2 linked regions of the Astyanax mexicanus genome follow. The protein of the gene in region 1 interacts with the protein of each later gene in a pairwise test. Links are inferred from orthologs where the notes say so. Each region holds a gene or a part of one and is shown in the gene's direction. Other genes may lie near its edges.

Region 1 (6,833 bases):
CCAGTCCTTGTCCCCTGTCCAGTCTCAGCCCCCTGTCCAGTCTTTTGTCCAGTCCTTGTCCCCTGTCCAGTCTCAGCCCCCTGTCCAGTCCTTGTCCCCTGTCCAGTCTCAGCCCCCTGTCCAGTCTTTGTTACCATTCATAGTCCAGTCTCCTGTTTTGTCATGAGTTCCTTCGTCCTAGTTCTGTCGTCTTGTTCTCTGTTCCCTCTCTCTGCGCCTCTGGTAGTGGTGTCGTTGAGGGGGAGTTATGTCACAGCTTAGCCCATGTCTGCCTTGTGTTTCTCCCTCATTTGGTCTCTTGTGCTCCTGCCCCTCTGTTTACCTGTCATGTTTCCCAGCCATGTGCTTCTGTTGTGTTTTGGTCCTGTCTCCGCCCTAGCCCCACCCTGTCATTAGTTATTTGTAACCCCGCCCCCTCTTGATTGATCCTCAGGTGTTTCCAGTTTCTTGTTCCCTCCTCATGTATATAAGCCCCTTTGTTTCAAGCCTTCTTTGTCTAGTCTTTTGTTGGTTTGTTTGCTGTCCGTGTTCAGGTTTGTTTCATGCTGTTTCTTAGATTCCTGTTTTCAAGTTTAGTGTTTTGTAGTTATGTATTCAGTGTAACTTTGGTTTATTTTGTTTGTTTGTTAATTTGTTTTAGTTTTTATTAATTTAATAAAATTAATTAAATTCTGCACTTACGTCCATCCCCTCACTTCTGTAACACAAACCAAAAATATTTGCTGGTAGCACACCAAATAGTAAATAAGCATGAGTGTTATAAGCACTAAAATAAAAATAAATAAAGCTATCAATAAAGAAGTAAAATAAATGTTACATTGCAATAAGTCAATCAGATTTAAATATCCCACATTTTAACTTATAACAATATATACAGTATTGTGCAAAAGTTTGGGAATATCAGTAAAGGAAAGCTTATCTGTGAAGTAAGTGTTCAATATCTCACTAAAGCATTACAATAAATACAAACAGCAATTTTACAAAAAGCAGAGCTTTTAAAGCCCTGTTGTCCTTAAAACATTTCCTAATCTCTCCTCATTTGAGTTTAATAGTTATTTCTGGTTCTCATCATATCAACCACAGGTTTGGTAAATTAGGTGAGCTGCTGACGGAACTGAACATATACACTTGCTAACTGAGGAACATCCAGGAGAAATCTGGAACTACACTTTGTTCTTCAGCTTGGCTCACAGGACATACCATACTTAGCTAAAAATTAGAATTTCTTGTTACATTTTACTGTATGTATGTTTATTTACATCTGTTTAAATCATATGTGGTGCTTTTTTCCGGTAAAAACACTCATTGCTGAGATAAATGGACTTTCTTTGTAAATATCTATTTATTGTTTTTTTTTTCTTTTTACCCAAGAACAAGTACAGCACACATAAACAAGTAAAGAAATAAAAAAACATTGAACAACAGAATAAAATACAGTAAATAACCCAACACATTTTTCCATTACAAGGGGTATGAAGCTGTTGTAGGGTCTGGCAGTGATGGCTCAGGTGCTCCGGTATCTTCTGCCAGATGGCAGCAGTGAAAAGAGTCTGTGTGAGGAATGGGTGTGGTCATCCAAAATGCTGGTGGCTTTGCGAATGCAGCTTGTGCTGTAGATGCCGATGAGACACCAATGATCTTCTCAGCTGTCCTCACTATCCACTCTACGGTCTCTCAAACCAGAAGGTAATGTAAGTACTCAAGATGGTCTTTGCAGTCCCTCAGACTTAACAATCTGGAGTTGGGACAGCGTCAATATCTCTAGGAAATGTCTTTCAGAAAAATAAGAAGAAAATGGAAGAAAAAAATAATCAGTCATTATAAAGTTGTGCATCACAAAACCATATTAAACAAAAAGCAGTGATTTTCTGCACTTTTAATGTACAAAAACATATTGACCAAATCTGTTAAACCTGTCCAATGCTGTTTTTTATGCAATTAGCTGTTGAAATGTATATGCTTCTGGTTTTACTCTGCATCACTGTGCATCTGTTTTTCGTGAGAAAAAAAAATTATTTTTTGGATTTTTTGAACTGCTGCCTATAACTACACTCTTCAAAAAGAGTGTTTTTTTGAGCAATGACATAGAATAATCTTTTATGGTCCCTTAATAAACCCTGCTTGTGATAAAGGTGTATGTATGCAAAAATAAAACTTTAAAGTGTCTAAAGAATCTTTATGTAAAACAATTTAATATAAAAGTTCTTTACCAGTTTAAAGTTTCTTCATGCTGTGCTCAGTAGGCTGTAGTCAGCACTACAGCTCAGTAGCTTCCCATATATGCAGTCCGGAGGTCTTTGGGAAGTATTAATTATTCACACAATAAGATTTATTCCTAATAATGGATCCTCATTGCAACATATCAGTGGTAATGCAGTAAACTGAATAACTAAGAGCGGCTTTGATGTTGAAAAAAAAAACTAGGTAATAGTTGAGTAAAAGAGGAACTACGTTTCCTGGCAGGGGTCACACACACGCACTCACACACACAGCTTCTGACAGTCACATGAAGTTTGCTCTGAGATCACACAGAGTTATTTCAGTACTCAGACAGATACAATCTCATGCAATGCACAGACACACACACACACAGGGAGGCTGGCTTGTTTACAACATGCTTTTAAACAGCATGTTTTTTTCTTTTACAAAAATGTGCAAACAATAATGCATAAATACACAGTAAGCATGATTGACAAATACTACTACTACTACTACTACTCACAAGAAGAAGAAGAATGAAAAAAGGAAGAAGGAGCTTCATAAAACCAAAAATAAACAATTAAATAAAAAAATACATAAATTATAAATACATACATTTTTTTATATATTTTTTATATTAAGTGTTTTTTTCCCTTTTATTTAATATATTCTAGAATTGAGAACATCTGGCAAGGTATTTGAAAGATAGCAATGTTAAATGTATAAATATGAGTTTATGCATTAAAATGATTCCTGTCTTTACCCGATCAGCACACCTAAACTATTTTTGTTGTGGACAGTGGACAATTCAGTCCACATGCAGAAACTAACTGAAAAAAAGATGTTGGAATTCACTGATATAGGTAATTTAATATAAATACATCTACTTATGTCACTAATAGTAGATTGGCCCCACCATTTAACCATAAAGTTGAAGTGCTTAAACCTGGTTTTTGTACCATTAGAACAGAGGTAATTTAACTGTATCAAGGCCTCTAAGATGGTATCATGTAAAAATAAATAAAATAATGCATGGCCACGACTTGTTGTGGAAATTAGATCACTAAACTGTGGGAATGAGTTATCTCGTTCCCATGCCTTAGTAAGTTTGGTTGTTATACCTGGCATTTAATGTTCATTTTTTAATATAATGCAGTATACATATAGTTGTTAAAAGCACAGTGTGCATACTTTTAATGGCCAGAGGGAGGTTAAAAATTAACGTGGAAATAAACACTGACAGTCTGCGCCTCCTGTTATTGATCGTGAGGTGGCGCTCTCGCACTGTTTGTTCAGGTCTGAAGCGCCTATGCTTTTCATGGGATTTGTGTCCAAAACCGCTGTCCACGTGATGAAAACCACACTGGGGGTGTGACGAACTGTTTCCCGCCCCGCCTTATGTGTTTATCAGACGCGAAAAACACAAAAATATCGTTTAAACGAATAAAACGCGGGTGTTTGTAAGGTTTATAACATGTTTTAAATCCCGGAAGGAGCAGGAACAGTGAGTGCGGTTCTCCAGCGGGCGCTGAACTCCCCGCCCAGCCCCGCCCCGCCCTGCTCTGTAATGCGCGCGGCTCCGGCTGCGCAGGGGAGGGGCAGGAGGGTCAGGGGCGAAACTGGGGAACGAGGAAAGAGGAGTGAACAAGGCGAGGAGGAGGAGGAGGACGGGTAGATAGCTAGGTGGGCTTTTTTATGAAAGGACTGCCAGATTTTTATAAATCCACTCCGGCCTACGGATTTCCCACCTTCTTTACATCTGTTTGAATGGGTTCGATAGAGTTAACGTAAAGTGAAAGGCGAACAGAGAAGATCCGCGTTGGTGGCAGTGCGCACGGGCTGAAACGCCCAAATTTAGACCAGTTTGGGATTACGGTGACTTCCCAGCGCTTGGAAAAAAATCACAGTATCTGGAGCCTGTTTCGATAGGCCGAGACCGCAACCACACCATCGGACTTGCACAAAAAACACAAAGGTAGACTTTCGAAACTGCTTATTTTTCTCCAGTCGTTATGTTAATAGAAACGGTTGTGTTTTTCTCAAATCGCGCGTGTTTACACAAAAGCCCTGCTCGCTTTTGTTAGTTAGGAAAACTTGGAAGTTGGCTATGCTAAGCTAGTTAGCTAGCGTGCTAACGCTTTAGCACTCAGGTTAGCATGCTAGTGGTGTTAGCATAGCGCTAGCAGGTTTGTTATCTAGCCGAGCTACCGCTAGCAATAGCGTCTCACGGACAGCCACGACTCACATTTGCCGCTAGCTAGGTGTGAAGATGAAGCTGAAAGTTAAAGCTAACAGCTAGCGATATGATTTGTTGATAATGTAGTTACTTATTTTAAAGTGAATTATTGTGGATTTTACACGTTAGCTATAAACTTGCGTAGCTATTAGACCTGTCGAGACAAATACATTCGACTCATACTGTTGGTTAGTGTTAACTAGCTAACCTATGGGATAACTTATTATAGCTCGGTTAATAGCTAGCTAGCTTAAGGCTAACTTATTGACTTACATTTAACTAACCTTTATTTACAACATATTTGGATAGTTTATTTTACTAATTAAGTTTTTCTTCAATAATTCGTGTAGTTAATATTGTGGCCGTGAACGTAGTTAACTTGTATTTACTGAAAACAGGGAGTTATTTAGCTTGCTAACCAGAAACCGAGCTGTTTATTTTTTATTTTAGTGTTTTGCCTAAATTTGTATTAAATATTTAGCTTGGCTGTTATAAGTTATCTGTTTATTTAGGATTAAATGTGCTCTTTTTATTGAACTTACCTATTATTGTGTTTCAAGATAATGAATGCCTACATTTCCTTCTAGCGTATCTATACTCTAAAAATTAGTAGTCATACTCTGCATTTCCAGCAAAAGCTTACTAATAGCTATGTTAAACACACAGCTTTGATACTGGGACATTTTATGTATGGCTTGTAAATGAACACTTGATCACCCGGCGTGTAACTGTATGAGGGGAATCCTCAGCAGTGTAGTAGTTACCCATGACAAGTAGTTTTAGCCTAATAAAATTATACAAGTGATGTAACCTAGCCCAGTAATATAGTTCTAACCTAGTTTTAGTACTAGTGAAAACGAGATATCTGTAATGCGGAGTAGTGCTACTACAATTTCTAGCTTTATATGATGCCTATATTTTTTAACCTGTAATGATATCAGATTTTTTACTTGCAGAATCTGCAAGTAAAAGTCTCAAATCACTGCAACTCGGGAGCACCTGTTAAAAAATATTTGGTTTGTTTCTTTCAAAATATAGCTCCTTTTTGGTGCTGAATAAGTTACCTGTAGGTCCTTATTCAGCAAGGTAGTTTGCTAGGTTAAGGGTTGCAGATGTGATCTTGTCTTGGTTGGAGATGTTACCTGTGATTTTTTTTTTTTTTTTTTTTTTACTTTTAGATTCTTTTGGGATTCAGTGAGGAGTAAACACGCCTTGGTTTATTGTTTATTATCAGTAAAGTTGCATTGTTTTTTGGTGATGAGGTGAAAACTGTGATTGTGATGTAGATTACTTTGTGTGTAATTTGCACGGACAGTGTTGGGAGAGTGTGAAGTTTGTGAGAACCTGTTGAGTAGGTGCTGGTGAATGGGTGTGTGTGTGTGTTTGTGGGGGAAGGGACAGGCGTGGTTCAGTGTGTGTGTGTGTGTGTGTGTGTTTTTTTTTCTTTGTAGACCGTCTTTTCTTGCATTTACACACAATACAGTGTAAAACAGCCAGTCAGCGTGTGGAGTGAGTGGTCAGTGACTAGCTACAAGCTCACTGATTTTACGGTTCGTCTGACTTGGCTGATATATTTAGCATGAGTCACTGGAGATGGGTTGTGTGTGAGAGAGTGTGTGTATGCAGTTTTCACGACTTAAAAGGAAAAATGTTTGATTCCCCCCCTCTGAGTGGCCTGCGGGTGTGTCTACCTTGACCTGTGGCTGAGAGAGGGAAGGGCATGTTAGTACACGCCATGTTTTTCTAGCTAACCAACACTACTGTACAACACCTTCACACGCCTCAGTTGTTCTGAATTAAGTTTAAAAACGCTAGTTCTGAAGAAATGTTGTGAATAAGATGGAGTGCTCTTTTTGAAAGACGTAGTCTGTAGTTTCCTCCATTTCTTTTTTTCTGAAACGGTGTAATGACCGGGTTTACTGTTACAAGGGTGTGTCCGTCAAACACGGAAGGGGGTTGAGTAGTTTTAAAATACACGTCTCTGCCCGGCAGTCACCACAGACTGTGTGGATTCACAAAAACCGTGTACAGTAAAAATACATGGCTTTTAAACAGCTAATAAAGCACAAAGATATCGGACAAACCACCGTTTTAGCCTGAGGGAACTCCTACAGGTAAACCGGTTGCTTTTTCAATTTGGAGTTTCGTTTAAAAAGGGCTGCGTCATCGGCTGGCGCGTTAGCGCCTCAGGTAAAGGCTAATGGCTGAATGGCTAACCAATTTCACCTTCAGCTCCCAAACAAAAGGTAGATCTGTTCCAAAACTTTAGGATTAAATGGTGTATTCTTTCTTACAGAGCCCCTGAAGATTTTAACCTCTTAACAGGCCTGAATTTTTGTCAGTTGTCTGCCTGACATTACACCACTAAATCTTGAGGATTTCTATTTAAGCACTACTT
Region 2 (7,018 bases), on another chromosome or scaffold:
TCCCAGTTCACCAATCCTCTCCCTTTCTTGCAAACGCCTTAAAAAGAGAAAAATACATGGTTAATCCTGAAGGCAGTGACCCGAAAGTCACTTTTACTGCTTTAGGGCTTTGGCATGTCCCCTCAACACTGTTGAAACCCCACACTGTTATAGAATGAGTATGTTAAAGAAGAAGTCCATGTGAAATACACTTTGGTTGTAGTGAAACATGATAACGAGAACAAACTTTTGTCAAACAGCCAACCTCTGTTTATCTCCAGCATTTTGAAATACAGCACTTTAATCTGATGCTCCCAACAGGCTTACAATGCTAGCGATAGGGGCATAGCAGTGTTAATGCAAATAAATGGCTCCACCATCACTGTACTGATCCTGACTTTACTTTAAACGTGTAGGAGGCCGAAGATTAGGTTTCACTACAGGTTGTAAACAGTGTTTTATAATAAGTTTCATGTGCACTTTTAAAGTTATTACTGGCACAAAATGACTGGATTTTCAGAAAGCTGCAGGGAAGTGGGCGATTCAACAAAGATAAGTACTCTGTATCATGTCTGACTACACCAAAAGTCAATTTTACACTGGAGTTCTCCTTTAAAGATGGCAGCACCTAGATAATTACCTAATGGTACTGTGCGTATAAAGAGTATTTATTTTTTAATAAACTACTTGTGCATTTTAAAGATCTCAGTGCTTCCTTTTAAAAGCCATTAAAGTGTGGAGCTATTTTGAGCTTGGTGTAAAATAGTGCTTTAATTTCATGGGCAACTCTATGCCCATTTCACTAGCATTGTGGGAGTATTGGCTAAAAGCGCTGTATTTGGGAATGCTGGGGGATTATAGAGGTGGGTTATTCGACAAAAGTTCGTATTTATTATTATGTTTCACTTAGGGCTGGACCCGAATATTCGGGTATTCGGATATTCGTTCGTTGAGTAGGTATTCGGTTTTTAATTTTGGTATTCGGATATTCGTTTTTTTTCTCCTTTCCAGAGTTCCACCTCACTCTAACCACTTCTGTTTTCGCGGGTCCCGTCAGAATATCTTGCGCGCGGGACAGAACTGAACTGTTATTGGCTGGAGCGGGAGTTTAATCCAGACGATGCGGGAGCAAATTAATAAATAGTTAAGAAAACTGTAATAATTGTAAAAAAAAAAAAAAACCTAAAGAAAACTCTCAACGCGCAGGATGGACCGACACACACACGCACACACCGATGGTGTTTGGACTGGGGTAAGGAACGGGACCGCACTATGTGGCGGGCGGGCGCGGGATTAAAAGAAGCAATTTTTTTGCGGAGCGGTAACGAGACAGAAACGCGGGAGCGTGGAAGAGTTGGTTTAAAAATCAGTCTCGCGCAGACCTCTATTATACATGATAAAAAAAATGCAGGCTCTTCGAAACTGATTTATATAATAAAACGTAAGGGGTAATGTGGCAACAGTAGGGGCTAAATCGGTTACAAAAGCCTGGCCTACAAAAATGATGTCTGAACGAATTTCCTCTTATCTAATATAATTTAACATGGTTTAAAATATAAAATAATTTCTAAACAAACGAAATATTTAATATTGAGCTTATAGCCCAAGTGCAAAAATACAAAATCAGTAATATGCCCTGCACAATCCTTTAACCGAAATAGACCAAGTACAGTTTACAATGACTGTCCTCTAATATAATTACCAATGTTTAAGAATATAAAATACTTCCTGAACAAACGTTTTTTTTGTTTGTTTTTTTAAGCAAATAGCCTAAGTGTGAAAACACAAACAGCAATTTACTGGGCTGGCTTGCGCAGCGGAGAAACCGTGCAGCAGCAGCCTCCTAGCCTGCTTACGCAGCGGATAAGCCGCGTGTGGGGCAGCAGAAATTCCGGGATGAAAACACAAAGAAATCTGAGCTAAAAACACAGAAAAAATATGGGGGATAAAAACACCAAAAATCCGGGGTGAATATGTCTCGTCGGTCAGAGCAAATTGAACATTTTTCAGTGGATTAAAGGGGCCGTGATTTGCTTTATTTATTTATTTTTTTTACCTCTTTTTTTAAAAACGAATATTTGAATATTCGCTTCGAATCAGTGCCGAATATCCGGAGCTCAAAAAACGCTATTCGGGCCAGCCCTAGTTTCACTACAACCCAAGTCCATTTTACACCGGATCACAACTTTAAGTATTTTTAAGTAGTTTGTTTACCTGGCGATAAAAGCCTCCTGTCTCTGGCGTTGGGCATCATCTCTCTTATCATAGTAATCCGACCGAGACCCTCCGTATCCCCGATCCCAGGACATCTTCTCCCGCTCCCTGGACCTGGATCTAGACCTGGATCTGGACCTGCTGCGGGAGTTCGCCATCCTGAAGCGGTTCCTGCTCCTCTCTTTGCTCTCCGTCCACCGGGCTGGCCGCTCCTCGGGCCCGTCGTGTCTGGAGCTCTTGGCCGCTGGACTCGCGTCGCTGGCCGGGCTGAGAGAACGACTGCGCCGCCGCCTTTTGGGGCTGTCTTCCAGCTCCGGCATCTTTACTTTAGCTATCTAGAGCTTTAATACAGTTTAAAGCCGCTTTTAGCTGCGATTTTATTCTGCTCTAAAAACCACAGAGCTAAATAATCACTAACTTTAAAGGCTTAACGCTACATAACTGAGTTGGACACTATTACTCAAACAACAACAAAACTAAACTCAAATGTTTAGCCAGCTAACCTAGCTAACCGAGCTAGTTCACTGCCCCCGACTTATCTAGTTAACATACTCAACCGTCATATAATATATCCAATACGTTGAAACTCAAATAAAGTATTTAATTCGTCAAAAGAATAAAGCAACAGTTCAGCTTTCGTTTACTACGCGTTTAGGCCTGCTGTGGTCTGCTCCTTCTGCCTTCTGTTCAGGCTGGATGTAGATTCACACACTGTGCTTACTGTCGCCACCTACAGCACTGGAGCAGCTACACAACATTATCAAGATTAAAAATTATAATGTATTATATATTATTATACACAGCTCTATCAAACAATAAGAGAGCACTTCAAAATGTTCAATTTCTCTTATTTATATTTTTACATATCAGGTATATGTTTAAGTATAAAAATATGGTCATTATAGCATGTATTTGCACACAATCAGAACTGACCAAACTAACAAAAAATATGCAATTTAAAATATTTAGAAATAACAATACTAAGGTTTTCACTCAGGAAAAGTTCAGAAATCAAATTCACAACATGCTCTTGTTCACTTCGCATGCTCTTCACTAGTCTTTCACACTGCTTTTGGGTGACCGTGTGCCACTCTTGCCCCCCCAAAAATCAATGTTTAGATTTTTTTCTAATAACCATCTGTCTTCCTTTTGATAATATTTTAGAGGTTTTAATGAACTTTTTAAATATTAGTATTGTCATATTTTTTCTTTAAATTTAATATTGAAGATAATACAGCTAGACAGGAAAACGTGCATAATTATTTTGTAAACAAAAATGTTAAATAAACCAGAATATGTTTGATACATTAGGAAACCACCTTCGATTATTTTTCTGCATTGTAGATTAATACGAAAGACAAGCAAACTACAAAAAAAAAAAAAAAAAAACATGGAATTATTTAGTAAACAAAAAGTGTTAAACAACCCAGAATATGTTTTAAATTTTAGATTTTTCAAACTAGGCACCTCTTGCTTTTAGTTGACAGCTTTGCACATCTTGTCATACTTTCAAAAACTTTAAAAGCATCTTTAAGTGCAGTCACAAAGACAATCAAAAACGTTATGATGAAACTGGCTCTCATCAGGACCGCCCCAGGAAAGACAGAGTAAGAGTTATTGCGTAGGATAAGTTCATCAGAGTTACCAGCATCAGAAACTGCAAGTTAACAGCTACCCAGATAAGAGTATTTTGGTTTGTTTAACACTTTTATGTGCACTACATGATTCCTTATGTGTTCCTTAATATACATAATGTATAATATATATATGACAAATCCTTGAATTAATATTCCCTCCACCCATCGGATGCTTTTGCGACTCCTGTTGGTTGAATGGTAAGTCGCAGCCCTGCGCCAGCTCACACAAGGCTCTTTTTTGTTGTCTACCGCAACAAAACCACTATTTTCTTTCTTCTGAAACCGAAGACTGGACTCAGAAGCTCCGCAGTGCAGGTATGCTATCGTGAACGCTGCGCGATTTCATATAAAAGTGTTTAAATTTAATATAAACATATTTCTTGGCTTTAAAAGCGTGCTAGTCCGGGTAGCAGTAAGTTCACTCTCAGCCAGCTGCGGGCCAGGCCTCGACCTGCCGCCTGAGCAGGAAGGATAAAGTGGCCACATCTTAGCATCTAGCAGATCCGTCTGCTTTTATTTCCATTATTTACTCGGATTATAGAAATATGTGCAACATATCTGAAATTGACCGGCAGAAAAGGGTTAGATTGTTGTTTTACTGCTTTCTGAATGAAAATCAGCCAGCGAGCTGGGTCTTAATGCGGAGCGACTCATTATTTATCCCGCTTTTGTTGTTTTGTTTTCAGATTAGCGTTAGCTTTCCTAACCTGCTAGCCGGCTAACGTTACACGTTTCTAATGTTTTTTTTCTAACTATCTAACTTAGCGTATGGTTTTAAAGTCCAGCTAGATAGTCAATTACTCATCAAAGCCCATTTAAAGTTTACAAACTGAAGATTTAACCTTTTACTAATACATTAGCTAATGCTATAGCTAGCTAGTTAGCATGCTTGAGATGAATACCAATAAGGCGTATCACGCAGGTTTATTAGCTTAGCTAAGCTAGGTTAGCTAAAACACAGCCATAGCGTTAGCTTGCAACATCTCACTGAATCTCATCAGTTCTTCTTTTTTTAGATAGGTAACTAAGTTAGATAACCATGTAACTAGTTACTTAACTAAGTAAAAGTAGAGAAACACAAAGTAAAAGTCCCCTTTTAGTGCAAACGTATTTTTAAAGCAGCAGTCCTTAAGATACTGCTACCATTCCTGCAAAACCACATTTGTTAATTTTACTAGTTACTTAACTAAGTAATAGTGGAGAAACACAAAGTAGTATTTCCCCCCTTAGTACAAAAGTATTTTAAAGCAACAGTTCTTAAGATATTGCTACTATTCCTGCAAAACCACATTATAAAAAAAAAAAAAAAAAAACAAGGTGTCTGGTAGGTAGAAAGATGGATAGTTACTTGTCAAAGCGCTTTTACAAACTAAAGATTTAACCTAGCTAGTTAGCTAACCTCGGTCCGTTTCACTGATACATTAGCTAATGTTTAAGATGAATACCAATTAGGCATATTACGCCGGTTTATTAGGTAAGCTAGGTTAGCTAAGCTAACTAGCTAAGACAGCCATAGTGTTAGTTAGGGCTGCAACTAATAATTATTTTGGTAGTCGACTAATCCAATAAATATTTCTTGGATTATGAGCCCCGTCTCTTATTGCGCTTCTGTCCTCGGCATATACGGTACTGTTCCAAAGTAACGATTAGTCGACAATAAACTTTGTAGTCGACAAATTTAAATAACCAACATGGTCGATTTATATCGACTAATCGTTGCAGCCCTAGTGTTAGCTTCCAACATCTTACTAAATCAGCTCTTCTTATTTCAGATAGGTAATAAAGTTAGATGACCATGTAACTAGTTACTTAACTAAGTTAAAGTAGAGAAACACAAAGTAAAAGCCTACCTTTAGTACGAAAGTATTTTTAAAGCAGCAGTCCTTAAGAGACTGCTACCATTCCTGCAAAACCACACGTATTAATGTAAAAAATCAAGGTGTCTTGTAGGTCCTGGGATCTGGCTGTAACAGCTTTTGCTGCACCACACTGCATGTTTTAAAAGTACTTTTAGCTTACTTGATGCAATTACACATTTTCATTAAAAACTCACAGACTGTTGCTTTAAGAATCAAACGCTTTTTGTTGTTTTGTTTTTAGAGTAGCTAGCTCAGCTAACCTGCTAGCCATATCATTGGCCATCTAAATAAAAGTGTCAGTCGACTTAGCCATGACAACTAAATATTCCAAATATAGTTATTTTTGTGCTTTACTTCATAGTTATTTACTGTTGCATGCTGTCATAAGCTTAATAGCTAGACTGTTTTTGGCTTTTGTGCTAGTTATATAACTTCAAAACCGTTTATTAAAGATACGCATGTTAAGGACTTAGATATACTAAATAAAAGCCGCTGTCTATTCTTTTCTGTTCACAGGGATGGCGAAATTAAAGCTAATATCTGTTACAGACACCCAGTTTCCCATGTCATTGCTGGAGTCCATCAGTGAGCAGCGACACAACGGATTATTTTGTGATGTGACCATCATCGTTCAGGACCGCAAGTTTAGGGCACACAAGACAATGTTATCCGCATCCAGCACTTACTTTCGACAGCTTTTTTCCGTTGCGGGACAAGTCATTGAGCTGAATTTCATCAAGTCAGACATATTTGAAATAATCCTGAATTACATATACAGCTCAAAACTAGTCAGAATTCGATCTGACAAACTGGATGATCTGATCAGTGCTGGCCAGATCTTGGGCGTCAAGTTCATTGCCAATCTTGCAACACCGCTATCACAGGTCAGGGGTTTACCTGGCTTGTCAAAAGAAGGCGAGAGTGGCAATATTGGCTCCACTGAGAAGAATGAGTCTGGGACAGAGAACATGCCCATCATCACTGAATCATTCTCGTTGTCTGCTGAGGAGTTTGGAATGACGGGCAGCAGCGCTGGGAAAGATGACACGGACAGCGACGATGTCCTGTTTGTCTCGCAGGTGGAAGCCCCGAAAGCTCAGAAGACCAAGCCACCTCACAGTACGGATGCTGAAGAAGAACCTGAGGCGAAAAAACAAAAAGTCTCCAGCGAAGAATGGGTGAACGTGGACCAATCTAAGAAATCCAAGGAGCTTTCCTCTAAGGGTGTAGCAGAGGTTGGTACAGTTCAAAATCACCTTCAACCCAAGCGAGAGCCAACACCTCTCGCCAGCCCGCCCATGATGTCTCCAGAGTCCAGCAGCAGTGTTC

The links.
Region 2: the proteins of ctnnd1 (region 1) and zbtb33 interact in binary tests that used the Homo sapiens proteins (3 or more experiments, as listed by UniProt). The link is inferred for Astyanax mexicanus from reciprocal best matches to the Homo sapiens genes CTNND1 and ZBTB33.

Annotation. Positions count from the first base shown.
Region 1 is NC_064414.1:44,251,433-44,258,265, forward strand, and holds the start of ctnnd1 (catenin delta-1), read left to right. Parts: upstream 1-3,813; 5' UTR 3,814-4,174; intron 4,175-6,524; exon of another isoform or gene 6,525-6,549; intron 6,550-6,833. UniProt on the Homo sapiens protein: Key regulator of cell-cell adhesion that associates with and regulates the cell adhesion properties of both C-, E- and N-cadherins, being critical for their surface stability.
Region 2 is NC_064417.1:48,682,878-48,689,895, forward strand, and holds the start of zbtb33 (transcriptional regulator Kaiso), read left to right. Parts: upstream 1-4,014; 5' UTR 4,015-4,145; intron 4,146-6,205; 5' UTR 6,206-6,207; coding exon 6,208-7,018. Other genes in the region: NF-kappa-B-activating protein, read right to left, coding at 1-37, 2,194-2,513. UniProt on the Homo sapiens protein: Transcriptional regulator with bimodal DNA-binding specificity.